Caenorhabditis elegans: one gene and its partners. The protein of the gene in region 1 purifies or fractionates together with the protein of each later gene. This does not show direct contact. Each region holds a gene or a part of one and is shown in the gene's direction. Other genes may lie near its edges. The genes, in order: Y71G12B.13, pygl-1 and W04C9.6.

What was found.
Region 2: the proteins of Y71G12B.13 (region 1) and pygl-1 fractionate together in Caenorhabditis elegans (co-fractionation; one large-scale study listed by BioGRID). This does not show direct contact.
Region 3: the proteins of Y71G12B.13 (region 1) and W04C9.6 fractionate together in Caenorhabditis elegans (co-fractionation; one large-scale study listed by BioGRID). This does not show direct contact.

What each region holds. Positions count from the first base shown.
Region 1 is NC_003279.8:1,700,169-1,709,249, forward strand, and holds Y71G12B.13 (RING-type domain-containing protein), read left to right. Parts: upstream 1-1,936; 5' UTR 1,937-1,954; coding exon 1,955-1,981; intron 1,982-2,403; coding exon 2,404-2,520; intron 2,521-3,793; coding exon 3,794-4,318; intron 4,319-5,492; coding exon 5,493-5,587; intron 5,588-5,629; coding exon 5,630-5,837; intron 5,838-7,167; coding exon 7,168-7,722; 3' UTR 7,723-8,385; downstream 8,386-9,081. Other genes in the region: ubc-3 (UBC core domain-containing protein), read left to right, coding at 510-619; lsm-6 (U6 snRNA-associated Sm-like protein LSm6), read left to right, coding at 1,204-1,316, 1,410-1,530.
Region 2 is NC_003283.11:3,575,841-3,586,905, forward strand, and holds pygl-1 (Alpha-1,4 glucan phosphorylase), read left to right. Parts: upstream 1-3,301; 5' UTR 3,302-3,327; coding exon 3,328-3,381; intron 3,382-5,546; exon of another isoform or gene 5,547-5,557; coding exon 5,558-6,238; intron 6,239-6,290; exon of another isoform or gene 6,291-6,362; intron 6,363-6,479; exon of another isoform or gene 6,480-6,551; intron 6,552-6,613; coding exon 6,614-6,835; intron 6,836-6,891; coding exon 6,892-7,448; intron 7,449-7,754; coding exon 7,755-8,712; intron 8,713-8,772; coding exon 8,773-8,949; 3' UTR 8,950-9,202; downstream 9,203-11,065. Other genes in the region: grl-27 (Ground-like domain-containing protein), read right to left, coding at 1-12; rpl-11.1 (Large ribosomal subunit protein uL5A), read right to left, coding at 9,529-9,768, 9,818-10,033, 10,084-10,218; T22F3.2 (Ubiquitin carboxyl-terminal hydrolase 36), read left to right, coding at 10,800-10,941, 10,992-11,065.
Region 3 is NC_003279.8:482,297-491,920, reverse strand, and holds W04C9.6 (MFS domain-containing protein), read left to right. Parts: upstream 1-3,528; 5' UTR 3,529-3,930; coding exon 3,931-3,963; intron 3,964-4,018; coding exon 4,019-4,127; intron 4,128-4,193; coding exon 4,194-4,334; intron 4,335-5,071; coding exon 5,072-5,454; intron 5,455-6,301; coding exon 6,302-6,540; intron 6,541-6,644; coding exon 6,645-6,768; intron 6,769-6,918; coding exon 6,919-7,014; intron 7,015-7,062; coding exon 7,063-7,133; intron 7,134-7,611; coding exon 7,612-7,795; 3' UTR 7,796-7,882; downstream 7,883-9,624. Other genes in the region: haf-4 (ABC-type antigen peptide transporter), read right to left, coding at 1-85, 197-311, 362-571, 619-724, 1,719-1,870; W04C9.2 (MICOS complex subunit MIC13), read right to left, coding at 2,150-2,221, 2,977-3,039, 3,088-3,153, 3,198-3,305; W04C9.9 (Zinc finger protein), read left to right, coding at 8,041-8,051, 8,893-9,373.

The sequences.
Region 1 (9,081 bases):
ATATTTTGCGTTTTTTGCACTAAAACTGGCTATTTTTGGTAAAATTCAAAAATTGTCAGTTTTTAGTCGAAATATCCGCAAAATTATACACTTTTTTCAAAAAAAATTGCCGATTTTTCAGGTAAATTGCCAGAAATCGCACGAATTCACGGATTTCTGGCTTCCCTTATAAATTGAAATGGAAGAGTTTTTGCCGAACTAGTCCAGGCCACCATATCTGGGGTAGATTTACGGCGCGTTGCGTGTCGCGCCGCGGCTCGATTTTAGTTGTAAAACTAAATGTATTTGTCCGTGTGGAGTACACGACTTTCCCACACGTTTTCCGGCGGGCGATTGTCAATGGAGCGCGAAAAATTCAATGAGGAAGGTCAGAACCCCGTGACCTCAAAAACCTCAAAAAAAAGTCTATTTTTCGCAAATTTAGTTGTAAAATTCCCGAGAAAATTGGATTTTTCAGTTAAAAACCCGGATTTTTGCCAAATTTTCAATTAAATATCGATTTTTTTCAGACGACGATTTCGGGTGTGACTATGACGACGATGAAGAGGAGGAGGACGAGGACGAATGCGGCTCGGACTATAATGATGATGACGAGGATTCGGGACAAGGAGAAAATTAGTCAATTTTTTTTAATTTTCTATAATTTTTTCCCCATTTTTTTTCTCAATTTTCTCAATTTTCCAACCTAGAAAAATTCAAATTCATATCAAATATACCACGAAATCTTGGCGCTTCTTTCAAACAAAAAATCTTCAAAATCCGACTCAACTAGTCCTTTTCTCAATGCATTTATATGTACACTTTTGCCCTTCCCAAGCAGCTATCAATTCATATTTGTGTTATACTCAATATTTTTTCGTCTGGAAACAGTTTTTTTTGTCCAATTACACACACACACAGGCTGATCACAGTGCACTTTCAACTATTTTTGTTTTCTATAAATGAAGCCTTCTTTTTTCTAAATTGTCTCGGAAAATTGCAGATTTAGAGTTGAATTCTCAAAAAATAAGTCGATTTAATCCGAAAAAAACATTTTTTTCGCAAGTCTGCATTTTTGCGTCACGGTGTTTGCGGACACTGTAGAAAATAATTTTTTTTGAAGCAAAATCGCAATTTTAACGCATTTTTCTCTTGATTTTAACATATTTTTACTCTAAAAACCCGTGAAAGTAATATTTTTTCTCAATTTCAGCACTCTAGAAAATGAGCAAACGACAGAATCCCGCCGAATTCCTGAAGAAAGTCATCGGAAAGCCGGTTGTGGTGAAGCTCAACTCTGGCGTCGACTACCGTGGCATTCTCGCATGTCTCGACGGGTTAGTGATTGGGAAAAATCAAAAAATCTGATTAAAAACACCTGAAAATTAATTTTTCTTCCAGAAAAATTACGAAAAAATCTAATTTTTCAGATATATGAACATCGCGCTCGAACAAACCGAAGAATACAGCAACGGACAACTTCAGAACAAGTACGGCGATGCGTTCATCCGCGGGAACAATGTGCTCTACATCTCCACATCGACGAAATAACTTTTTTTTGATTTCGATTTATTTTCCAAATATTTTTCCCTTTTTTGAGCTATTTTGAGCAAATTTCTTGTTTGATACGTTTGGATCTCGAATAAATTTGTGTTTTTTTTTTCGCCGAAAATCTGAGTTATTTCGCTCGAAAACAGGCTTTTTCAGCAAAAATCGAGAAATTTCTTGGGTTTCCTCACCGTTAGACGCGTCGCGGTCATGCGTCACGTGCGGTGGGTCTCACCACGATTCGATTTACGGGGAAGCATTTTCGAAAAAAAGAAGACATTTTTAAGTCAATTTATCGCGTTTTCATCGATTTTTCGAGCTTTTCCGGTGATTTTTTCGATTTTTCAACTCAAATTTCGAATTCTACGTATTTTTGTGCCACTTTCACTGCAACAATCGCAATTTTCAGACAATTTTCAAAAGGATAATGCCACCCGGACCACTTCCCGCCTTAGTAAGTTGATTTTTTTTTTGATTTAAAAACTGATTAACTTTTGCTCTCCGAGTGGTAAGTGATAATTTGTAATGATATGCGATCACACTAAGGCTAAACCGCCTTGCGATGATCTTTCCACCCGCACTGGAAAAGGAGAATTAGGCGGTTTTCTGCCGCCCGATATGTGATCGCACATTTCAAATGATACCATTCAAAAACTATACCTAATTTCATAGTGAAAAGACCAAAAGAAGATAAAGAAGAGCAAGAGAGAGAGAGACGTCGCACGAAATCCATCAGTCTTCTGTCCCCCCATCGATTTTCCGAAAATTGAAAAAAAAACAGTTAGTTTCAAAGTTTGAGCGTTTGTGTGCTCATTTTGTGCTCGTTTCTAGCCTTAAAATTTCGAATTTTCCATCAAAAAACTCATTTAATTTCAGATGAAAAGCGAATGGCTCAAGTGTCCGCGATGTAAGACGAAACAGCTCAAGCCAGAGCTCATCAGCACCGAACCCAATGGATCCGATAATATTTGGTGGATATGTGAGGCTGTTCAGGTAGAAATTCATGAAAAACTGAATTTATATTGGGAAACCAGGCAAAAATCGAGCTAAAAATCGAATTTCAGGTTGTTTTGGCTCGTATGAACGGAGAAAATCAGCTTTTCATAGCAATTTAACTGAAAATTATTGTTTTTTATATCAATTTTCGGTGAATTTCCGATGTTTTCGACGATTTCTCCCCTCAATCACTGGATTTTCACAAAATTAACTAAAAAATTCCGGTTTTATTGAATTTCAAGTTCAAAACTTGAAAATTCTGTGGGGAAATTGCTTTAAAACATGCCTATGGTACCACAATGACCAAATATCATAGTAAATTTTTTTTTTAATTTAGAACATTAAAAAAAATTTTACTATGATATTTGGTCATTGTGGTACCATAGGTATGTTTTAAAGCAATGTCTCCTCAGAATTTTCAAATTTTGAACTTGAAATTCAACAAAACGGACAATTTTTAGTTAATTTTGTGAAAATCGAGTAATTTTGAGGCGGAAAAATCGTCGAAATCATCGGAAGTTCACCGGAAATTGATTTTAAAAAACATTAATTTTCAGTAATATTTCATAATCACGCTCTCCTCAAAGCCGGAGAATTATTAGAGCGCGCTTGCTGCGCTTCGCATTTCTGCATCCGCGGTAATTTGACTTTCCACTGAAAAAAGCAGATATTTCAGATTTATCGAATTTTTAGCTTTTAAAATTTTTTAAATGCATCTTTCGAACAAACCTTTTGTTAAACAGTGAAAATCGAAAAATGACTAAAATGAAATTTTTCGTCCACTGGTTGTGAAATGGTTTGAATTTGAAGAAATCAATGGGATTTTTCTTATTTTCTAAATATTTTTCTATTAAAAATCGGTTTTAACCCATTTTTTTGACCCTAAAAGTCACAAATGTTTTAAAACCGATTTTAATAGAAAAATATTTAGAAAATAAGAAAAATCCCGTTAATTTTTTCAAATTCAAACCATTTCACAGCCAGTGGACGAAAAAAGTTCATTTTAGTCATTTTAAATTCGATTTTCACTGTTTAACAAAAGGTTTGTTCGAAAACTGGAGAAAAATTTTTTTTAAAGCTAGAAAATTCGATAAATCTGAAATATCTGCTTTTTCAGTGGAAAGTCAAAATACCGCGGATTCAGAAATGCGAAGCGCAGCAAGCGCGCTCTAATAATTATTCGGCTTTGAGGAGAGCGTGCATAATTACGACTTTTTTAAAAACTAAAACTGCCGATTTTAATCATTTTTTATTTATTTTTTATTTGCAGAAATGTCAATTCCCAATGGATATGCCTCCACACGTCTATCATGTCGTCCAAACTGCCTTCCAAAAGCGTCAAAAATGCATTCCCCTGCCACGCATTGAGAAGCTTCCCGAGAAATATCAATATCTGTATCCCCTGACGTTCGCCAACTCTCGACCGGTCTCCCGTTGCTCATCAGTGGCTGGAAATTCTGAAAATTCTGAAAATCGAGCCGCCAGAAACTCGTTGGACGGGACGACGACGACGACGACTACGATTTCTGAGAAATCCAGTGGTCAGAATAGGCTAAAAGCTGAAAGTCTTCATTCCGAAACTGTTAATAATACAAATACCCCTTCAACGTCTTGCTCGGCAGAAGCTGAGCTTGAAAATCAGAGTATTGATGATGTGGAAATTGAAGAAGAAGAGGCCGTCAGGCCGTGTAGGACTATTAAGCGACGGCTTAATGATTCTGGAAAATCGTGGGCTTCGTTGATAGAAAAAGTTGCGGCCGACTCGAAAGCGTCGAATACTATTATAAATATGGAGGTGAAAATTTGGAACTTTTGAGCTGAAAAAAATTTGAGTTTTCCCGAATTTTTAAGCGGAAATTTGAATTTTCCTGGATTTTTAAACGGAAATTTGATTATTTCCGAATTTTTTAGCGAAAATTTGAATTTTCCCGACTTTTTAGTTGAAATTTAAACTTTCCCAAAGTTTTAAACGGAAATTTGAATTTTCCCGAACTTTTTAACGAAAATTTGAATTTTCCCGAATTTTTAAATCTAAATTTGATTTTTCTCGAATTTTTAAAAGGAAATCTGAATTTTCCCGAATTTTTAAGCGAAAAATTGAATTTTTCCGATTTTTAAGCGAAAATTTAAATTTTCCGAAATTTTTAATCGATAATTTGAATTTTCCCGAATTTTTTAGTGAAAACTTGAATTTTCCTGGATTTTTCATCGATAATTTGAATTTTCTCGAAGTTTTCAACGGAAATCTGAATTTTCCCGAACTTTTTAACGAAAATTTGAATTTACCCGAGTTTTTAAGCGAAAAGTTGAGTTTTTTTCGAATTTTTAAGCGGAAATTTGAATTTTCTCGAAGTTTTCAACGGAAATTTGAATTTTCTCGAAATGTTTACCAAAAGACTGAATTTTCCCGAATTTTTTAGTGAAAATTTGAATTTTCCTGGATTTTTAGTTGAAAATTCGAATTTTCTCGAAGTTTTCAACGGAAATCTGCGTTTTCCCGATTTTTTAGCAAAAATTTGACTTTTCCCGAACTTTTTAAAGAAAATTTGAATTTTCCCGAATTTTTTAGTGAAAATTTGAGTTTTTCCGAGTTTTTTTAGCAAAAATTTGAAATTTCCCGAATTTTTTAGTGAAAATTTCAGTTTTGCCGAATTTTGGAATGAAAATTTGAATTTCTTCAAAGTTTCCCGTATTTTTGAGCGAAAATTTGAATTTTCCCGATTTTTTTACTGGAAATTTGAATTTTCCCGAATTTTTAGTGAAAATTACACTTTTCCTGGATTTTTAATCGATAATTCGAATTTTCTCGAATTTTTAAACGGAAATTTCGATAATCAAAAAATTGGAAGAAAAAAAAATCGCGATTTTCTGGGTTTTCTGGGTGAAATCCTTCGAATTTTTGCTCAATACTGCGAAAAAAACGCAAAAATTTTCATTAACATCTCCCAAAAATCGATTTTTTTTTTCAGGAATCCGAATTATTCCGTCGTATGCAGGAGTTTTTCGATGCTCACTACTTCCAGCGTACTCCGATGACCTATAAGCGTTCAAGAGCGGCTTTACGGTTGGAAATGCTCAACAAATGGCAAAAAATCGATAATTTTAGACTTCCCTATCGGATAGAAGACATTGAAAATTGTCTACAATCAATAACTCGTGAAGATTGGAAAACTGCCCGACGTCGAATGATTAATTTCACTGTAGAAGAGAAAATGGTGGCGAGAAGTGGAAATGCGGATGAGTTGCTGAAAAGTGTTGGAATTGATTTGCAACAAATTAAGAAAGCTGTCGGAGAGAAAGTTGGCAATGTTATGGTACGGATTGAAGAAGAGGAAAAATGACGAAAATCATGGAAATTTTTGAAAAATTTGGCCGAAAAAACGAAGAAAAACCTAGAAATTTGATTATCCTGCGAAGATTTTGCAAAATTTTAAAAAATTTGGCATAAAAAAACAAAAAAATTCGATAAAAACCCAAAAATTTGATTTTCCTGCGACGATTTTGCAAAACTTTACACAAATTAGCCAAAATTCAAAAATTCGCAGAATCTACATGAAAAAATAATTTTTTTTCTCGAAAAAATTGCTTTAAAACGCGCCTATGGGGTCATAATGACCGAATAGCATGGTAAAACAAATGCAAAAAAATTTTCTAAATTTTTTATGATATTTGAAAATTGAAAAAATCACAGTTTTCCCCCTAATTCCGATTCGAATTTCCGCTAATTGAATTTGTTCGATGGAGTGTGCTTGCATTATTTTCATTAATTTTTTAAAAATTTATTTTCATTATTTCACTGATTTTCTTCATTTTTTGGGCGTTTTTAATCGGAAAATGAAAGAAACATACGGGAAAAATGCAAAATGTTTATTAAAAAGTAACTGAAAATGCCTAAAACTCTGAAATTATACGATCCGACGATGACGAGCCTGAAATAAGTATTATTCACAGTTTTAGGCATTTTCAGTTACTTTTTAATAAACATTTTGCATTTTTCCTGTATGTTTCTTTCATTTTCCGATTAAAAACACCCAAAAAATGAAGAAAATCAGTGAAATAATGAAAATAAATTTTAAAAAATTAATGAAAACAATGCAAGCGCGCTCCAACGAACGAGTTCAATTGGCGGAAATTCAAATAGGAATTAGGGGGAAAACTGAGATTTTTTCAATTTTCAAAAATCATATAAAATTTAGAAAAAAAAATTTTTTTTGAATTTTTTTATTATGATATATTCGGTTATTGTGGTATCATAAGCATGCTTTAAAGCAATTTCAAAAAAATCAAATTTTAAATTTAATTTCCGAAATTTATGGGTTTCTGTTTTCAGACATTTTTCTCGAAATTCGCTGAAAAATACAAAAAATGCCGATTTTTCCTAAAATTACGCAGTTTTCGATTTTTTTTACAAAATTGCCAATTTTCCTACAAAATATTTGAATTTTTCCGATCTTTTAGTCAAAAAAAGTCGAATTTTCCAATTTTTTTTTCCACAAAAATTTGATTTTTTCCGATTTTTTACACAGAACAACTTGAATTTTTCTTTTTTATTTTCATTTCGGTCCAAATTTTGCTGCGCGTAAATAATATTTTTTTGATTAATAAAATAAATAAAAAAAAGACGCTAATTTCCTCATTTTTCAGCGCAACTTCAGCCTGGCAAGCCTGGCGAAGCGTCGAAAAATCGAAGAGGATCGTAAAATCTCGGAGAAACTGAAAGCGGAAACCCGTAAGCAGACGATTCATCAATCGGTTTCTGCGAGAATTCTGAACAAGAAGCTTCGACGTGACGAGGAAACGGCAAGATCCTTGACGAGTACACCATCTCCGGCTCCAGCTCCAGCTTCTCAATTCCAGCAGGAGCCGGAGCCTGTGCAATTCCATGTGGGAAATTATGACGAAGAGCCGGAGTACCAGGAGCACCAGGAGCCAGATGCTCATTGGGGCTTTGAATTTGACGATCTCTACGAGAGAATTGATGCTCAGAATCATCAGGCGGCACCACTGGATCCGGCTGATCCACTGGAGGCGATGCTTCTCGGATTGGAAGAAGCTCCGATTATGGAGCAACACCTCGATTTTGAGCCCCAAGAGCATTCGGGTGATGAAGCGGAGCCTGAGAATGATGATGATGATGTTTTTACGGGTTTTAATGTTCAGGAGAACTCGGAATTTGTTAATGATAATTTTGATTTTTAATTCTTCTCGTTTTTTCCCCCGCTTTTTTACTTGAAAATTGGAATTTTTAGATGGAAATTGGCAAAATAGCGGATTTTTAGCAAAATTTTCCCCTGAAAAAAATAAATTCCCTGAAAAATTTAAAAAAAAAACCGATTTGCCGGAAATTTTCAATTCCGGCAAATTACCGATTTGCCGGAAATTTTCCATTCCGGCAAATCGGCAATTTTTCTGTTTGCGGGAATTTTTCAATTCCGGCAATGTTCCGGTTTGCCGGAATTTTTCAATTCCGGCAATGTGCCGGTTTGCCAAATTGCCGGAAATTTTCCATTCCGGCAAAGTGCCAATTTGCCGGAAAAAATCGTTTGCCGAACGTTTCAACAGTTTTTAATTAATTAAATTTCCCGCCGACAAATTAGGTCTTCTCAGAAAATTTGAAATTCCCGCCAAAATATTCGATTTAAAAAATTTCAATTTTTCTTGAAAAATTGTGAATTAGGAATATTTTTTTCCATCCTTTTCCTCTTGAAATTCCACTTTTTCCCCCTCGATTTCTCAATTTTTCCCCATTTTTTTTGCAAAAAGTTCCTTAATGCTGGTACCTTTTTTTAATGATCATTTTTTGTCTGCCTCTTTCTTTTTTTTTTTTAATTGTAATTTTTTGTTTTGTTGAAAAAACCTCCCTCACCAAATCCCAATGAATTTCTTTTGTTTTTATTAATTTTTTTTTCCGGTTTTTTGAGCACTTTTGGAAGTTGTAAATTTCAATTTGAAAATATCTATGAAATTGTCGATTTTTCTGAATCAATTTTGAAGAAAATTTCAGAGAAATCTCCAATTTTTGGATTTTTAAAAATTAAAAAACCGAATTTGGGACTTTTTTTTTTGAAAAATCTGTATTTTTTTCTCATTTTTTTTCCGGCAAAGCGGCAAATTTTCGGACTTGAAAACTTCCGGCAAACCGCCTGATTGCCTGAAATTCGATTTTTTCTTAATTTTCGAACTTTTCACGTTTTTTTTTAAATAAGAAATCTGAATTTTACCACATTTTGAAAAAAAAAACCGAATTTTTTTAGAAATTTTTTTTTCAAAAAAAAACATTTTTAATTAAAAAAATTCAGAGAAATTGCCAAATTTTGTCCTTTTTTAAAACGTTAAAAAATCAAAATTGGAACTTTTTTTTTCTCGAAAAATCCAGTTTTATTTATTTTTTAATTTTTTTTAATCCGAATTTTTCCACCCAAAAATTGTGAATTTTGACTTGCTCATTTTTGTGGAAAAACGTTCAAATTCTGACATGAAAGACAGAAAAAAAAAGTTCCAACTTCGATTTTTTAACGTTTTAATTTTTAATTAAAAATGTTTTTTTTTGAAAAAAAA
Region 2 (11,065 bases), on another chromosome or scaffold:
GGAGGATTGCATGATGTTCTAAGATCACTTGTTTCGATGTTTCGATGAATGATCCTTATATACCCCCAGCCAAGTGACGTCACACACCTTAATTACACTTGAGAACTTTGCAGAAAGTGAAGATTTTTCATAAACTAGCACCCTTTTTTGTCGCATTTTGATGATCGGATCATTTTTTGTTCTCAAAGTGATGTTCTGAAGGGCGTTGGTGTTTGGTTTGATGATTTGCGGAGGCTAAAGACATCCGGAACAAATCGGAGGGCTATAATTGCTGAAGAGGGCCCGCACGTGGCGACAGAGTGCCCCCCGTTTGATCTACGTCGATCTACGAGAATCGCGGGAATTTAGACGCAGACTTCTCAACTGATATTGCATGAAGTCGCATTTTTTTGGGCGAAAAATTTCCACATTTTTTGTAGATCAAACCATAAAGTGACTACCTGACACCACGTGGGCACGGATTTCTTGCTGGCCGCATAAATTGAAATGGAAGAGTTTGCCGAACTAGGCCATATTGGCTCGGCCATATCTGGCGGTAGATTTACGGTGCGTTGCGTGTCGCGTTGCGGCTCGATTTTAGTTGTAAAATGAAAAGTATTTGTCCGTGTGGAGTGCACGACTTTCCTATGCGTTGTCCAGTTGTCAATGGAGCGCGAAAAGTTCAATGAGGAAGGCCAGAGCCCCAGTGCTTCCTCACTGAACTTTTTGCGCTCCATTGACAATGGCCAACGCGCGGAAAAGTCGCATGTACTCCACACGGACAAATAAATTAAGTTTTACAACTAAAATCGAGCCGCGACGCGACACGCAGCGCACCGTGTGGCTGAGCTATATGGCCGAACCGAAATGGCCTAGTTCGGCAAACTCTTCTATTTCAAAATATGAGGGAGCCTAGAAATCCGTGTATAATTGAAGGAATAGGTTTTGTTTTGTGTCTACAAATGCCAGCTGCTGCCAACAAGAATTTGTTTTGGGAAACAATCGAATTCTAAGAAATTCAGTTAACATTTGTTTTGATTCTATCCTTCCTTATTTTTCAACCCGACTGGCAATGAGTTCCTTGCAAGAATATTGTCTCTATCTCTCCAATTTTCCAAATGTTCAAAATCCGAAACGTTCTTGTGTTGTTGGCAAGGACTGGCCTATACCTCCCACGCAATTACCGCCGTACTTGTATCATTTCACATATTAGGCGGTTACTGTATTCTGCTCAAGACCCCACCGCAAATGGCATCTTATCGATGGCCATTGTTTAATTTACATTTTTGGTGAGTTCTACAAAATTGAAAAAACTGTTTTTTTTTAAATTTCGCTCTAGGACATGTTTCGTGGATATTCTGCTCGGTGCGCTTGTGACCCCCTATTTATTTTTTTCCGGCTCTGGCTTGGTTCACAGTTGGGCTATTGAGCCTGCTGGGGGTGCCTGATTCTGTTCAAGTTGGCCTAGCATCCGTGTTTGTGTACTGTGAGCGACGAAAAGAAACAGCGAAATGTTCGCTTTTTTTTTTCTAAAAAAGGCAAAAAAATTGAGGATAGGCCGCGCTGCACACGAAAATGCAATCGCGCTCTAACGTCAAAGCTCCGCTCCTACAAGTTGGGTCTCGTTAGGTATCGGCGGTAAAACCGTAGTTTCAAAAAATTTCAACTATTTTCGTCGATTTCCAAACATGGTGTCAAGATGTTCCATAGCGACTTGATCTACAAAAAATAAGGGAAATTTTTCCACAGAAAAATTACCTCATCACACTCTAAACCATGCGAATTCAATTAAGAAATGTGCGTCTAAATTACCGAAGCGATTATTTTTTATTTCATAAAACTGTTCAGCATAATCAAATATACCAGAAAATACCAAACAACATACTCTAGCTTGTACGGAAGTTTATTTTAAAAAATTTCAAAACTTAACCAAAAGCTGTTATATTCAAAAATTCAAAAGTACGGTAAAATGGTATGGAGTCATTCTTTTTTATTTCATAAAACTGTTCAGCATAACTAAGTATACCAGAAAATACTAAACAACATGTTGTTAATTAAAAAAGACATTTTTTAGCAGTTTTTCTTCAGATTTTATTACGGACACACTAAATCCTGAGAATGCGTATTGCGCAACACATTTGACGCGCAAAATATCTCGTAGCGAAAACTACAGTAACTCTTTAAATGACTACTGTAATGCTTGTGTCGATTTACGGGTTTGATTGTGTCATCACTGTCACTGTTCGAAAATAAAATCATTTCGAAAATCGAGCCCGTAAATCGACACAAGCGCTACAGTAGTCATTCGAAGGATTACTGTAGTTTTCGCTACGAAATATTTTGCGCGTCAATTGTGCTGCGCAATACGCATTCTCAGGATGTAGTGTTCCAGAAATATCTAAAATATAAATTTATTTAAAAAAATAAATTTTTAGCAGTAAAATTGAATTTTTTTAATTGTATTAAACATTTTAATAATATTTTATTATTGAACTAGAGGTTGTTTCATGAAATAATTTGAAATAATTTTTTTTTTCAATTTTTTCGAAAAAAGGTAATTATTTTTGAATTTCTGACGATAATTTAGCGATTTCTGGCTTGAATCACCTTTTTCTTTCAAATTTTCAGACTTTTTTTCCGGAAAAAAAGTAAAATCATCGATTTTTACGCCAAATTTTTTTTTCTAGTGGTATTTTTTTTCTAGTGGTATCAATTTTCCTTCACGCAAAAAATATCTGAAAATTAGATGAACGGTGTTTTAAGTGTTTTAAATCGAAAAATCAAAACAAAAACAATTAATTTTGACAGAAAATGGGAAAAAGTCAAAACGTTTCATTTATTTGCGCAGGAATTCGAAATTAATTCATCCACTTTTCTTATATACTTGCAAAATTCTTTTTAAAAAATCATTAAAAAATTGAGATAAAAAGTTTTTTTTCAACAGTTATATTATGTTGTTACGGCCAATTTTCTATGCTTTGAAGCAAGTTTTCAATATAATTTGTTCTAAATTTGATCTTAAATGAATTTTCTTTAAAATAATCTGCAATTTTTAGGAAAAACTGTTTTTCAAGCAAGAAAAACTAAATTATTTATTTATTTTTAATTAAATTTAAATTCAAATCCGCTACGGCGAGTACGGTGCGCATCGGTGTTTGCGTACTCGCCTACCGTACCCTCGGTGTTGTTGGCGCGAAAATTTTGTTTTCCAATTTTCAATCATGGCGCCAATTTCTGCATTTTCGGTGCAATAAACCACTTGTTTTCGTCAATTTTTTGATTGTCTTCTCCAAATTTTTATCAGTCATTCTTCACTGTTCACCTTCGTAGCCGCCGGTGACACCGAAAATGTCGGATATTGCTGCTCGTTTTGGATTCTTCAACTGGAACAACGTGCGCCCGGTAAGTAATTCGCTGATTATTTCATGCTATCAAGCTTCTTCTTCATCATCTGCTTCATCTGCTTCATCTCTTCATAAGCCAGAAAATCATAAGAAAAAAAACAGCGAGCAGGCAGGGATTTAAGTGAGTGTGTGCGTGCAAAATGGGGAAACGGCCGGCTGAATCTTGCCGAAAAACACGTACGCTTCACTTCAGGCTTCTCCTTTTCGCTTCTCGCCGGCACACACACACACACACACACATGTCAGTCTACTTTTCCCGCCACTTTTCTTCAGCCCATCCTCTTCCTCTTCTATAGGACTTCGGCTCCCAGCTCTCGTTTCACTGGTCATTTCATTTCATAAGCGACGGTGAAAATTGGAATCTATCGAACCTATACGCCTCAAGAATCGTTCACCTTGCCCCCTCCAGCTCGTCGCGTTGTTTGTGCGGTGATTGGTCCTCACTGTACATATACAGTGTTCAAAAAACGGAAAAATACCCGTTTTGTTGTTCTGCTGCACCGCCCGTCTTCTCATTGATATCATAACAGGAGGCGGTGATGATAAGAAAGTCGGGAAATTAATATTAAAGCTTCTAGAAACAGATTTTTCCTCGCCAAAAAAAAAATAAAAAATCTCTTGATTTCTTGGTTTTTCAATTTTTCAATCTTCAATCTCGTCATCTTCTCGACAAAAAATTTGAATCTCCGCCTGCTTCTCTCTCTCTCTGTTTCCCTATCAGTGTCCGTCGGGGTCACACACAACATGTATTTTTCTCTACATCTCTGCTTCTCCCAGAGTTGTTTTCCTCTCCTCACATTTTACACACACGCTCACAAACCCCTTCGCATCCTCTCCCCATCCATTTTTTTTAGATGGCTCGGGCCTCTATGCTCTTTTTTCGATTCCACATAAGCGTGGCAGCTCCCCGAAAGTTTTCGGAACTTTTTTTCAAATTTTCTCAATTTCCAATGGCATCGATCATTCACGTGCACACACTCGTCTCAGTTGAAAAAGAATTGATAAATCGGCAGTGACAAGAATTGTTTATCAAACACAAAGCGGCCATGTCTACCGATAGTCTTTTCCATATTCGAACAGATTTCCGCAAGATTTTAATTAATTAATTCGAGTTGACAGCACAATCTTTGAAGATTCGGTTTTGCGACAATTAAATGCTTTTCTTTGACAAAATCATAAGTAGAAAAGCTTTAAAGTTCAAGCTTCAGGCTAAACAAAAAAGGCTGTGAGCAAAGAACAAAGTCTTCCGTAGCCCAGAAGAAAGTGCCCCTCACTTTCATTAATTTTTTTTTCGATTTTCTTGGGCCGACCGGGTGATAAAAATACACCGAAATATCCTGTCGTCGTCTACTGATTGTTGTTTTATTATCACTTACGCGTTATCAGTTTATCGGTAGTTTTCTGCATGTTGACTGACCGCCGACACGGTCAACACTGATATTATTCGACGTTTTAGCCTGATCAGTTTGAAGCGATGCATTTCACTCCTCAATGATCAGCGAAAATATTTTTTCTTCGATTTTTTTTTTGGTTCAAGGAGGAATGCTTGCTTGTATAGGATCAAAACTTCGCAGAAAATTACTAATTTTAGCTAAGATCCCCAGTTTTGCCAGCTTTTCCGTGTCGCAGTGCTCAGAGACTAACTTTTATTTGATTATCATCTTTTATTGCATATTTTCATCACTTATTTCGTTGATTGAGGCATTTTTGGTCCCTTATCGGCTTAAATGCACCTAGATCAATGAAAAAACGTTGGATAAATGCCCAATAAATGATGTTAATCAAATAAAAGCTAGTTTCTGCGAACTGCGACACGGAAAAGTTCGCAAAACTAAAGGTTTTTGCGGAAATTTGCGATTTTTTTGAAAAATATAGCAAATCCACGTGGCTTTCATACTTTTTTCAAAAATCTTTCATCTTGGAAATCACGGGGCCGGCCCCTGCTATCAATATTGATTGTTGACTGATCACTGAACTGCCCCCCTCCTGTTGACTTTGTACTGCGTCGACTACTATCTCGCAACACATTTTGTTTTCTGGCCTGACTCGCCATTGCCTGCAGTGTTCGAAATTTTTGTTTGTCCACCATTCTTATCACAGTAGCCGAACAAGTTATAATTTTCACCACTTTCCGCTCATTTTTTCTCCCAAAAAAACCAATTTCCAATTTTCAGCAGCCCGTGGTTGCCGAATCGACTGCCTCATCGTCGAGTCCGAAGCTGTTCAGCATGATCACCAACGATCACGATCGTCGCAAGCAGATCTCCGTGCGCGGAATCGCTCAAGTGGAGAACGTGTCGAACATCAAGAAGGCGTTCAATCGCCACCTTCACTTCTCGATCATCAAGGATCGTAACGTGGCCACCGATCGCGACTACTACTTCGCGCTCGCCAACACTGTCCGCGATCATCTCGTGTCTCGCTGGATACGAACTCAACAACACTACTATGACAAGGATCCGAAGCGGGTCTACTATCTGTCGTTGGAGTTCTACATGGGGCGAACGCTGTCGAACACAATGATGAACCTCGGAATTCAGGCGACCGTCGACGAGGCGCTCTACCAGCTCGGTCTAGACATTGAGGAGCTTCAGGAGATCGAAGAGGACGCCGGGCTCGGAAACGGAGGACTCGGACGTCTCGCCGCGTGTTTCCTCGACTCGATGGCCACGCTGGGTATTCCGGCTTACGGATACGGGCTTCGCTACGAGTACGGAATCTTCAAGCAACTTATTCGTGACGGATGGCAGATTGAGGAGCCAGACGATTGGCTTCGCTTCGGAAATCCATGGGAGAAGGCTCGTCCAGAGTACATGCTTCCGGTCAACTTTTATGGAAAAGTTGTGAAGGAGGATGTGAGTTTTGATTTTTTGGAGAAAATTAAATTTAAAAAAATAAAAAAGGAATGGGCCGAACTGGGGATTGAACCCGGGACCTCTCGCACCCAAAGCGAGAATCATACCACTAGACCATTCGGCCATGTTTGGAAATCGTGTTTGGAAGCAATCAAGATGCACAATAATCGATAATTGGCTGATTGCGAGAAATAATAAGATTCGATATCTCTTCATCACCAGCTTTCACGTATCTAATCGTGGCCGAATGGTCTAGTGGTATGATTCTCGCTTTGGGTGCGAGAGGTCCCGGGTTCAATCCCCGGTTCGGCCCATTCCTTTTTTCTTTTTTTCGCTTACTTTTTTTATTTTTCATTAAAAAATATATTATTTCAGGGAAAATCGAAATGGATCGACACTCAAGTTGTGTTTGCCATGCCATACGACACACCAGTCCCCGGATACAAGAACAACATCGTCAACACGCTTCGTTTGTGGTCCGCCAAAGCCGAAAATCATTTCCACCTCAAGTTCTTCAACGACGGAGACTACGTGCAGGCTGTGATGGATCGTAACTTGTCCGAGAACATCACTCGTGTCCTCTACCCGAATGACAACGTATGTTTGAGCTAGATTTTGGCAGAAAAAAAAAATCAATTTCCCCACATTTTCAGATGTTCCTCGGAAAGGAGCTCCGTCTCAAGCAGCAATACTTCCTCGTCGCCGCCACCCTCCAGGACATCATCCGCCGCTTCAAGTCCTCCATCTACGGAAACCGCGAGGCCGTCCGTGTCAACTTCGAGACCTTCCCGGATAAGGTGGCCATCCAGCTCAACGACACTCATCCATCGATCGGAATTCCCGAGTTGATCCGTCTCCTCATCGACGTCGAGGGACTCACCTGGGATCAGGCCTGGGACATTTGCATCAAGACCTACGCCTACACCAATCACACCTTGCTCCCAGAGGCCCTCGAGCGCTGGCCAGTGTCGCTTATGCAGAATTTGTTGCCGCGTCATTTGGAGATCATCTACGAGATCAATCAGAAGTTCATGAACACCATCTCGCAGAGATTCCCAGGAGATTTCGACCGTATGCGTCGTATGTCGATTGTCGAGGAGGCCGATCAGTTCGGCGAGAAGCGCATCAATATGGCTCATTTGTGCATTGTGGCTTCTCATGCCATTAATGGAGTCGCGGCTCTTCACTCGGATCTTCTCAAGAGCTCCACGTAAGCGAAAATGCTCTGAAACCTGGCGCTAGAACCAATGGGCGACGCATCATTTTGCAGCTCCGCCGCACGAATTTATTTTGGCTGTTTTTCGCATGATGTTTTGAAAGATTTCGATATGTGAACTCGATAAAATCACGAAAAATTGATAATTTGTCATTGAAAATTCGGACAGAAAGAGAAAAAACATCGTGCGGCGGTGTTGCTAAATCGCGCGCCGCAAATTGCAATCCCGGCCCGCCCAATTTTTCTTACGCGCAAATTGCAAAATTACCATTTTAAAAAATTAATATCATCCATTTCCAGCTTCCGTGACTTCTATGAGTTCTACCCGGATCGCTTCCAAAACAAGACGAACGGAATCACACCACGCCGCTGGCTTCTTCTCTCCAACCCATCTCTCGCCGACCTCATCGTCGAGAAGATCGGCGAGTCGTGGATCACCAATCTCGACGAGCTTCAGAAGCTCAAGGAGTACGCCAACGATGCCGGGTTCCTCGATTCGATTCGTCGTGTGAAGCTCGAGAACAAGCAACAAGTCGCCCAGTATTTGAGCGACGAGTACAATGTCAACGTGAACGCCGCTTCGTTGTTCGATGTGCATGTGAAGAGAATCCACGAGTACAAGAGACAGCTTCTCAATATTCTCCACGTCATTGCTCTCTACAATCGTATCAAGGAGAACCCGAACATCGATATGGTTAAGCGTACCGTGTTGTACGGAGGAAAAGCTGCTCCAGGATACCATATGGCTAAGCAGATCATTCGTTTGATCACCGCCGTCGCCGAACAAGTCAACAATGATGCCATCGTTGGTGATCGTTTGAAGGTCATCTTCCTCGAGAACTACCGTGTCTCGATGGCTGAAAAGATCATTCCAGCTTCTGATCTCTCTGAACAGATCTCGACCGCCGGAACCGAGGCTTCAGGAACCGGAAACATGAAGTTCATGTTGAACGGAGCTCTCACAATCGGAACTCTCGACGGAGCCAACGTTGAGATGGCCGAGGAGATGGGCGACGAGAACATCTTCATCTTCGGAATGAACGTCGAGGAGGTTGAGGCGCTCACAAAGCGCGGATACTCTTCGCAGGAGTTCATCGACAAGAGCCCAATGCTCAAGCAGATCATCGAGCAAATCGAAGGTGGCATGTTCACTCCAGAAGATCCAGATCAGCTCAAGGATCTCTCCAACATGCTCCGCTATCATGATCGTTTCATGGTGTGCGCCGATTTCGACGCTTTCATTGAAGCCCAGGATAAGGTAAAACTCAAAAAATTCAACTAATTCAAATTTTTACTGATCAAAATAAATTATTTTCAGGTCTCCGCTACATTCCGCGACCAAGAGAAGTGGTCTCGCATGGCCCTCTACAACATCGCCTCGACCGGAAAGTTCTCAACAGATCGCACAATCACCGAATACGCTCGTGAAATCTGGGGAATCGACCAGTTCGAGAGCTCTCTTCCAGCACCATATGAGAATGAGAAGAGCGAATAATTCTTCTATGCACTAACATTGTAATTAATTATCGCCATAACTTCCCCTCCTCTCCGTCCCATTTAGTTTATAGCATTTTTATAGAAGCCTTTCCCTCCCCCGATAATTCTTGTGAATCTTCAAGATCAAATTGATTTTGTCCTCTCTGCCCCCAGTCCAATAATCGTACTTCCCCCGAATGTGTTGCCATACTTTGAGATTGTCTATTTGCACGTCTGCCCTGCATATTTATGATAAATTGACTGAAAATATCAACTTTTTTTTTTTAATTTTGACTCGAATCTGCAAATGCTGAAATTTAATTAAAAATTATGGCTGTCTGAAGGATCTTCAAAGAAGTTTCGATACCTCTACGACCAGCTCGTTAGCAAAATACCAAACTCCTTTTCGATGAGTTTTCAAAATTCCTGGATAAATATCCTGAACTTTCTACATCAGAAGACCATTCGCAACGTAAAATTATTGATTCCAGGAAGTTGAAGTTCAGATCCACGACAATCAGACTATGATTCACAACTTTAACAAAACATTAGCAATTTCATTTTTAATAACAACAGTTTATTCAGAAAATAGAAAAACTTAACGACGACGGAAGAAGTTCTTCTTGACCTTTGGCTTTGGTGGCAGAATGATTCCATCGTACTTTTGCTGGAACCATTTGATTGTCTCCTCCTTATCGACACGGTGGGATGGTCCAATGCGTCCTGGTGCACGTCTGCGCTTGGAAACTCGAACTCCGTTGCGGTTCAGAACGACGTAGAAGTCCATTCCGTAGATTCCAATTCCTGGGTCGTACTTGATTCCGAGATCAATGTGCTCCTGGAAACAAAATAATCATCACTTTTGAACACTTCAACTTTAAGCTAACCTGAACTCCGAAACCGAAGTTTCCAGTGTCAGAGAAGTTCTCTTTGAAAAGCTCGTATTCCTTGACCTTGAGTCCCTTCTCGAGGATTTCCTCAGCCTTTGGTCCACGAACGGTGCAATGAACAGCAATCTTTTCGTTTCTGCGAATTCCGAAAGTTCTGACGGTGTATCGGGCCTTGGAGAACACTGGGGTTTGTCCGGTGAGCTGCTCGAGCACCTGAAAATATTTCGAAAATTTACGAATTACTGTAGAATATATTGGAATACCTTAGCGGCACGGGTGAGACGATCTCCAGACTCTCCAACACAAATGTTGAGACAGAGCTTTTGGATCTTGAGCTCGCGCATCACATTGCGGCCCTTCTTCTCGCGAATTTCCGTCTGTTTTTCGACGTCCGTCATGATTACCTGAAAAAAAGCATAAATACATAAAATTTGAAAACTGTGACAAGCGAGAACAAGTAGAGAGAAACGCATAGACACAAGTTCAAAAATGCCGATAAAAAATTAGCATCTTGAGATCCTAGAAAGATATTCAAATTTTAGGCCTAAAACAACGAAAATGGGAGGAGCGACGCGCACACACACACACACACACCGGCATGCGCTGAAGAGACGGCAGAGAAAACGGGCAAGCGATAGAACAGCACAAACGGGTGACAGAGACGGCGAAACAACGACAAACCACTCTCATTTTGTGAGGAAAACTCGAAAAATCAGAAAAAAAAACCTCGAATTAAAATGATTTTCGGCCCGATTTAGGATTCGAGGGTACGGTTTTGTTTTCGTGCCGAGATATCGTGGTCCCGAAAATGGTGTGTGCCTTTAATTTTCGAATTTAATTATTTAATTCAGCTTTTTTCCGATTTTCGCTCTTTTTTTTTGAAGTTTTCCTTGAATTTTCTTGATTTTTTCTATATTTTCTTGAAATTTCTTCTTTTGAATTGAATTTCTAATTTTTTTTCAACGTTTTTTGTTACAGAATGACAGTAAATGAGGGTTGGGATTCGTTCAAAACGAACAGATGGATTAATTTCGATACTATTCCATCATCCTCCTCACAAAATCGTCCTGCACCCCGAGCTCCTGAAATTGAAGTTAATAGAAAAACGCCTGATTCACCATGTAAGCTTTGGAAAATTTGCGAATAATCTGATTAATTTTGTTTTTTGCAGCAAATCGAGCAAATCGCCCACGAACGCTTTCAGACCGGGGAAACGAGATTTTGGATAATCATGAACTCGTCAGC
Region 3 (9,624 bases), 1.2 Mb from region 1:
ACAGCGTTGGAGAGGGCTGGGTACGATTTTGTGGCGACCACGGTAGCGATGACTTGTCCCGTGTAATAGGGAACGAAGATACGGGCTGAAAATTGGGGTTTTGGAGTGGGTGCGTGGCCTAGAAATCTTAAAAACTCTTCCACTTGTGTTTTTTTTTAAATTCGAAACAAAAAACCCCCGATGGATATTCTCTTACTGATCGAATAAATAAAGAGCCACGAGAATCCGGAAATATGCCAGAGCCATTCACGTTTGCAGTATTGGAGCAGGCGGAAAATAAGCTCAAACGTTTGTTTTGGAGCCACCTCGAGCTGAAAATCGTGGGGGTGATCAAAACATTTTCTCAGCGGAGCGCACTTACATCCTCATCCTCCAGAATTATATATGAAGACGGAGTTCGCGAGAAGTATCTTGTCCACGAGGAGTTCAAAATGATCGCGGAAATGAAATTCCAGACAAGGAAGGCAGTGTCGCCGAAAGTGAGGAACTCATCGGGCTTCAGCTTTTCTGTGAGGAGGAGCAATTTTGTGGGGCTCGCCGCGCAGATGAGCAGTGCCGAGCAGAAAATTGGCTGAAAATTTGAAATTTTCGGGATTTCTAGGCCACGCGGCCACCGACCTCTTTCCACATTGTCAACGTGTCCGCCTTGTTGGCCACGTGGATTGCCGCCGGCACCATCCATAGTGCAAAACGGAAAAATTGCAGCAAGAATAGGTCGATTGTGCTGGAAAAATTGTTGGGTTTGGTGGTTTTTCTATTGGAAATTTGAATTTTTGACTTTTTTTTTACTGTCTTCTTTCGATGAATTGCTTCAAAAACGCGTACTTTTTCACGGGGTTCTGGCCTTCCTCATTGGATTTTTTGCGCTCCATTGACAATCACCTAGAGGACAACACGTGGGAAAGTCGTGTACTCCACACGGGCAAAAACATTTAGTTTTCCAACTAAAATCGCGTCGCGACACGCAACGCGCCGTAAATCTACCCCAGATATGGGCGAGCCAAAGTGGCCTAGTTCGGCAAACTCTTCCATTTCAATTTACGGGGGAGGCCAGAAATCCGTGTTTTTAAATTTCTCACTTTTTTTTCAAAATTTTACAGCAATTTCGCTCTACTGCACTCGTTCCACTGTCTCGCAGCGATTTTGGCTGGAAACTTCAAATTTTCATCAAAGTTTGAAAAGTGAAATTTTCTGGAAACCCGCTTTTTCATAAATCTTATTTTTAGCGTCAAAACTACGGTGCCCGGTCTCGACACGACAAGTTTTTGTTTTAATAAAAACGGGCGTGCGCCTTTAAAGAGTACTGTAAGTTCAAATTTTCGTTGCTTTGTTGAAAATACGCTTAGCAACTAAAGTTTGAAACTGCAGTACTCTTTAAAGGCGCACACCCGTTTTATTTAATGAAAATATGTCGTGTCGAGACCACCGAATATCGTTATTATAAGAAGTTATGGGAGAAATTCCAAAATTTTAGTTTCAACGTTGTGAGACCCAAGGACTGTGGAGCGTAGTTGCAAAAAATCATTAAAAATTTTTTTTTGCAACTGCGCTCCACTGTACTTGGGTCTCGTAACGTTAGTTTTTGGCGGGAATTCAAAATTTTTTGCAGTTTTCTATATTTTTACACACTGAAAATTAGAATTCCAGCGAAAATGACACTCGGCTTCAATTTTCATTTTTCGTGGCCTAAAATTAACTCGGCCACCAATCAATCGAACCTCGTAAAAAACGAAAAATCGCCAAATTGCGAAGTAAAATTCGCGAATTTGAAAGTTCCATCATGCAGGCAGGCGAACAGTAGGCACGCCAAAAAATCGATCGACGCCAGAATGAGTCCCCATGAGAAACGGGAAGCCACCGTCGAATTCATGGCAAAAAAAAGCAGGGAGAAGAAGTTGCGATGAATTGAGTTGGGCAGGCAGTGTGAGCTTATCAGTGAATTGATAATCAGTGGAGAAAATTGATCAACGATGGGAACTGATAAAATAATATAATGCACCGTCCGTTTAAAGTCAAAAATTGCAAATTTTTTCATAGAGCACACACACAAATACTTCTAGAAAATGAGGAGGGAAAAAGTACATTCTAACGAAGGAATACACGAGGATTCGGGGGGAAAATCGATAAATCGATAATTTTTATGGGGAATTTATTTATTATTGATGAGTCGATTGGCCACTGTGTTCACGCTTGATGGGACGTTCTCGATTGTGGTGAATACCTGAAAAAAATTGAGTTTGAAATTGTTGGAAATGCGCTCCACTGCACTAGCTTGGGTCTCGCAGCGAAATCGCGTAAATTTGAAATTCCGGTGAAAAAAAACGGCAATTTCAGGTATTTTCTATGCTTTTTGAGTGGGAACTTGGAGAAAAGTGCGATAGAGCGCGTTTGCATTATTTTCGGATAATGTTTGAATTTCCTACAATATTTCTGGTCTCGCAGCGAAATCGTCGGAATTTTGCTAATGTCTGTAATTTTCTACGCGAAATTTTGAAAAAAAAGTGCCATGGAGTGTGCTTGCATTTTTTTTAAAAACAATTTCAGAATTTTCTCTGAATTTTGGACTAAAAATTGCGTTTTGCATTATCTTTCCTACAAAACCAGAAGTTTAAGACTTTTCGAGTCAGAAATTGGAAAAAAGTGCGATGGAGCGTACTTGCATTTGGTTAATTTTTGACGTGGAATTTTTTTTGAATTTCGCTTTTTGTGAAAAAAAGTGTTTTGCATTATTTTCAGCAATTTTCTCCAAAATTTGTGTCTTTTTGTCATATTTTTCCTAGTTTTAGGCACTTTTTTCGACGTTTAGCTCTGAAATTTGACTAAAAATGACTGAAAATTTATATTTTTCAATTTTTCAGATAGATTTTTGAAATTATGGAATTTCTTGAACGTTCGGCGCCAAATCTCCATTTTCCAGGACTTTTTTCCAACTTTCGCAGCAATTTTTCCGTGTTTCCTCTCAAAAATGCAGCCTACCGAGTCAACAGCACTGTTCCACTTTCCACCGGCCTTCAGCTGCACATCTTCGACTGTTGGGAGCTGAAAATAAGAAAAAAATTGCATTTTCAGAGAAAAAATCGATAAAACCTGCTCTGGAAAGACGACGGTGCCGGGAAGAATGTACTTTTTAAGCTTTTGATACAGTTCGCTGCCCTGAAAATGAAAATTTTCGTGGAAAAACGGGGGAAAACTAATACTTTAACATTGTTAGTCGACCAAATATCGTTATCGATTGACAGTTTGACGGCGCCGGCGACGAGTCCAACTTTAATTCCGAGTTTTGCAGTTTTCCACAAGAATCCCATGTTGCCGACCTGAAAATTCGAATATTTTGTGTGAAAAATCAGTTATTTTGCAACAAGACGTGAAAAATAAATAAAAAATCACAAATTCAAGAAGAAAAGTTCAGAAAAACTGAAAAAAAATCGGAAAAATAAAATGAACGTCGCGCGCACGAGAAATGCGCAAGCAAATCGAGACTCGCGTCAGAGCACGAGAAACGCGCCAGCCTCGTCTGCGTTTCTCTTCTCACAATGCTCTCTCTCACTGAAATAAGCTTATAAGCTTAAAAGTCTGCAAATCTTTAATTTGGCGAGGGATAATCGAAAATTTAAGCTCACAGATGCCTAGAAAATTAAATTTTAAGTAGATTATATTAAAATTTCATAAAAATAATGATAATTAACGGTATTTATTAAAGTTTTAGATTTCATCAAATTTTCAGACTATACTATAGTCTTGCAATTTTCAAAGAATTTTTCCTGCAAAAAACAAGTACAAAGCATTGATCAAATTAACACTATCAAGTTGACAGTGTCAACGTTTAATCCCCCAGCAGTATTTCCCTTAAATTGATCACTGCACTTTTCGTTATCACCACGAGCATCATAAATTTTTTTACTTATTTAAAATTCCGGTTTCTGATGCACCATGGTCAACTCGCCGGTTCCTGTCCGATTTCTGGTACTTTTTGAACTCAAAACCCCCGGAAAATTGAATTTTCACGATTTTTTTGCAGATTTTAATATGTGCCACACTGTGTTTGACCTCGATTCTTTCAAATATGAATACTTATAATTTTACAAAAATTTGTATGCAAGATGATAATAGTACTTCAACTTCAAAAGGTTTTTTTTTTAATTCGGTGGCCGAGTTTTTCCATTGGCGGCCGCCAAAATAGTTGATTTTTTCAGTGAACTATACCAAATCAGAGTCGAATTTTCTTCAATCGTGTGTGGCTATTGGAAGTCTTGCCGCCTCGATTCCATTTTCCATTTCTTTTCAACATTTGCCGCATAAACCTGTCTTCATTGTCGCCGGAATTATTTCGGGAGGTATGACGTCAATCGTGGCCGCGAAAAAAAAAAATATCGGTGGCCGAGTTTTCTGTAGTTTTTATTTGTTTCGAGAAAACTGACTAATTTCTATAGACTAATTTTATAAAAACTGTGCATTTTGTCGTCAGATCCAGTGCATGCGTATTTTCAAAGCTACAGTACCCCAAAAAGCATGCATCGAAAGCATACAAAATTTTTGAAATTGATCGTCAAATATGGTGTATTGCACAGTGGGCGTTGAATTTGACGCGCAAAACAATAATCTGATTTTTCGAAACAAAAACATGGTGCATGAAGCACAAAAAATTGTGAAAAATTCCGCGTAAGCACGTGGTGTCAGGCTGTCCCATCACGGTTTGATCTACAAAAAATGCGGGAATTATTTGCCCGAAAATATGTGACGTCAGCACGTTCTTAACCATACGAAATCAGTTGAGAACTCTGCGTCTCTTCTCCCGCATTTTTTGTAGATCTACGTAGATCAAGCCTAAATGAGACACTCTGATACCACGTGCGTAAAATACTGAATTAAGTATTTAAGAATCATATTTTACGCGCAAAATAAAACAGATTTCACGAATTTTTCTGAAATTAAAAAAAAATTATCGATTTTTCAAAAATTATTGACATTTATTGTCCGAGAGGAGTACACCAAGCATCATTAGAGCGCGTTTCCATTTTTTAAATTTTAAAATTGCGCGTCAAATATGATGTATTGCACTCAATTTTTCCAGTTTCAACAGCCCTTATCCCGTTGGCAAGTACCATTGGCTACGGATGGTTTGTGGCCGCCCGTATTTGTCAAGGAATGGCATTTTCAGCCACATTTCCCCTCGCTGGCTCAATTACAGCAAATTGGGCGACCCCATACGAGCACGGAGTATTCATTGGCCTATTAACCGGAAATACACAACTTTCAAATATATTTACAATGCCAGTTTCGGGATGGTTATGCTCTTCGTCTGGTGGATGGACGTCGGTTTACTATGTGCACGCCGGTGTATCGTTGGTCACTTTTTCGCTGTTTTTCCTATTTTTCAAGTGCTCGCCGAGTGAGCACAGTTGGGTTGGCGAGAAGGAATTGGAGAGGATTCGAGAAGGGAAATCGGGAAAGAAAGTGAGTGCAAACGCGCTCTACCGGACACAAATTATAACTAGATTTTGGAGCGGAAAAAAACCTGAAATTGTACCACGTATCATTTTTGAGAAAAACGCGCCCGAAGGACTACGGAAAGCCCAAGCCTAAGCGCACGTGGTGCCTGGCTGTGCTATTACGGTTTGATCTACCAAAAATGCGGGAATTTTTGCCCCAAAAAATGTGACGTCAGCACACTCTTAACCATGCGAAATCAGTAGAAAACTCTGCGGCTCTTCCCCCGCATTTTTTGTAGATCTACGTAGATCAAGCCGAAATGAGGCACTCTGACACCACGTGTAAGCCTAAGCCTAAGCCTAGGCCTACGCCTAAGCCTATGCCTTAGCCTATGCCTAAACCTAGGACTGAATTAGTGGGTTCCTCGGGGTACGCAATTTGTCGACAATTAAGACGTTCCCTCATTAGTATGAGAAAATCCCAAATTTTTCTAAAACTGCTAGCAAGGTAAATGGGTTTCATGTACGCAAATTTGCTTCAACTTCAAGATTTTTTACATGAGAGTAACCGAGTTTTCAAAACCTCGGCCACCACATCGCATTGCATGGCCTAACTTTTCACGGGCTTCGAATTTCCCCCATGTTTTCAAATGGAAGAGGTGGCCGTGAAAAAAGCGAACCTCGACCGGGGGTCGCGACCTGCGACAAACAGGAAAACTCAAAAAAAGTAGCGACAGTACGAAATTTCTTTGAGTTTTCCCGTTTGTCGCGAGTCGCGACCCCCGGTCGAGGTTAGCTTTATTCACGGCCACCTCTTCCATTTGAAAACATGGGGGGGGAAATTCGAAGCCCGTTACTTTTTCGTTTTGCAGGTATCCCGGCCAAAAAATCTTCCATTCCGTCATATTCTGACAAGTTTAAGCCTGTGGGCTTGTTGGATCGCATCGTTTGGAGATTTGATAACAGTTCAATTGGTATCCCAATTCAATCCGCAATATATGAAAAATTATTTGAACTATGACGTACTTTCGTCCGGTTTTTTGGCCGCCTTACCCATTATTTTTCAATTTTTTACGAAATTATCGTCGGGAATTATTAGTGATTATATTAAGTGAGTTTTTCGGGGGTTTTTCCTGGAAAAATAATTTTATAATTGTGAAAAAAATCAGTGGCCGAGTTTTTCCTCTCTACGGCCACCAAAAATCAATATTCCAGATTCATCTCAGAAACTCTGAAAACTAAAATTTTCAACACAATCGCTCTGGCCGTGGCCGCCGTTTTTTTCATCGTTCTAGCATTTATTCCACAGGAAAAACACTTGCTGGCTATTATTATAATGGTGAGTGGGTGGTGGTGGTGGCCTAGATAGGAAAACTCTTCCAGTGGGACAAGTGCGCTCAATTGATAATCCACGTTGAAAATAACCGATTATCAACATAGCGCACATACATCCATGGCCTAGTTTTCCTATTCTCTTCCATCATTCCAGATTTGCGCCGAAAGTGTGATGGGGTGCAATACGGCGGGATTCAACAAGTGTGCCACGTTGCACTCCCAGCAGTACGCCTATTTCGCAATGCAGCAGGTAAGGGGGTGGCCGAGAAAATTTTTAGGCCAACGATTTCTCTTCCAGATCATGAACATCTGGGCTTGCACGATATTCATCGAACCGTTTTTCGTCAATATGATTGTTACTGATGATACGTGAGTTTTTAGGGTATTCATGTAGGCACGCAGGCATGAGGAATGCAGGCAGGCATAGGTAAACTTAAAGGCAGGCATGTAGGTATATACGGTCTAGAAAAAAAAACACGGTAAGCGTAGGTCACTTTGGAGGCAGGCAGGAAGGCATAGGCATAGATAACCTATGTGAGCTGGACCGGCGTAGATTCCCTAAAAGACTATCGAAAAGGCAGATAGCATTAAAAGCAGGTAGATAGGCACAGGGTACATTGGGGTAGACGTAGATAGCATGTAGGCTGACCTAGGCCACCTTGAAAGCAGGCAGTTGACCTACATAGTTTGTAAGGTAGGCATAGGCCTAGAAGGCACTGACAAAAATGCAGGCAAACCAGCATAGGTCTCACTTGAAGGTAGTCAAGTAGGTAGGCAAAGGTCCCCTGCAAGGCAGACGTAGGCAGGCAGGCGTAGGTCCCCTAAAAGACAAGATTATTTTTTTCAGATTCACAGACTGGCGTAATTGTTTCCTGGCGCATGCGGGCTTACTTCTCTTCGTAAATACTATATTCTGCCTGTTTGCCGACGCCTCGCCAGCAAAATGGACCAGATTACAAGATGATGACGTGGCAATTGAGGAGGAAAAAGAAGAATATTCTGGAAGTATTGAAGATATTATTAAGTTGTAAAAGTTGTACACTACTGTATAAATTGTAAAAGTGTTCCGAAGATTTTCGGCGCCCCAATAAAATTGAATGGCTTCTAGCTGAAGCTTACCTCCTCCCTATGAAATTTATGAAAAAAAATTTGCGGACATTTTTCTATTATTATTATTACGTAAATGCCCCAATTTCTACCACAAATTCTTATAGTTTTGCAGTTTTTTGTAAAAAATTCGGAATTTTGTATTGGTGGGAGCAAGTGTCAGAGCTCCATGTGCTATTCGTGAGTTTTTTTAAAATCTTGTCTAGAAAATACTGTAATTAACATAGAAATAGGGCATTTGAAACATGGCCTAGGAAAAACTATTGGTGGCCGAGTTTTTTTCCGTAGCTGTGAAAAGTGAAAAACGAAAAACCTCGGCCACCATTCAACTTTTTGGAGCATTTTTACAATTTGGAAAATTTAAATTTTGGTGGAATTTTCTAGGCCACGCAGTAGAATTCTAGGCCACTTGACGAATTCTGGATTAAAAATTGATTATAATTTTGATTTTGCAAAAATTGAGAAAAAAAAACCAGAAAAATAATTTTTAATTTTAAAATTTACTATCAATTGAGTTGTTTTTTTTAATTTTCGAAATGAGCAAATTTTCAAAAGCCTTGATTTTTCCTAGGCCACACTTGAGAATTCTCGGCCATCATAAAAATTTCAATCTTTTAGGCAGTGGTTGATATGATTTTTTTCACGGCTTTTAAAATAGGTTTTTATCCGTATAAATCCTTTATTTTGTAATCAAAACCACCAAAAAATATTTTTTTGAATTTTCTAGGCCACGCAGGAGAATTCTCGGCCACGTGGCACATTCCCAGCCATTCAATTCTGTAGAAATAATTAAAATTAAACTTTAACTCAAGATTAAAAAAAAGAAATTAGGCCATTTACGGAGCGTAGCGTGTCGCGTCGCGGCTCGGTTTTCAGTTGAAAACTAAATGTATTTGTCCGTGGGGAGTACACCACTTTTCCACGCGTCGTCCGGCAGGCGATTATCATCGGAGCGCGAAAAGTGCAATGAGGAAGGCCAGAAGCCCGTGTTATGAAAAAAAATTCAAAAAAAAAATTCCAGTCTCCCACCATCTCCACCATCTTACGTGATGGCTCCAATGATACGAATGGCTCCGGCACCCCCACCACCTCCAATGCCTCCGATGGTATTCCAAATGTCCCCGTCCCCTCAAATGTCCCCACAAATGTCCCCACAGATGTCCCAACAAAGGAATTACCCCCAACTCCAAATGATGGCTTCTCAGACTCCATCTATGGCTCCTCTGCCGCCTCCGATGCCTCCGATCGTTGGATCCTCCTCAGCGATCAGTTCAATACAGAACCTCCTGGAGAAGCAGCAAAATCAATATGAAACTGCACCAGAGACACCACGTTGGGACCGCCAGGAGCCCGAATATCAGCATATTGATGAGCAAGTTGTTGCTCCGGACGTTGTGGTGGCGGATACAGTAGATGAGAAGAGTACGAGCAGTGAAAAAGTGGAAAAAGTTCATGAGAATGAACGATTGGCGAGGATGGATCTGAAATATGAGGAACCTGAGGTAATCCTAAAGAAAAGAAAAAATGATGACGTCATTAATGGCCTAGATTTTTTTTTGGAAGAAAAATAATTTCTCCAGTGGCCTAGAAACCCGCTAGAGCAGGGTATGGAAGAGAAATGACGTCGCAGGCGATCTAGAAACCCAGCAGTGGAAAAATATCGACATCAGTGGCCTAGAAAACAGTTAGAATAATAAATGGAAAAGGAGTGACGTCACCAGTGGTCTAGAAAATTCCAAAACCCGTTTTTAAA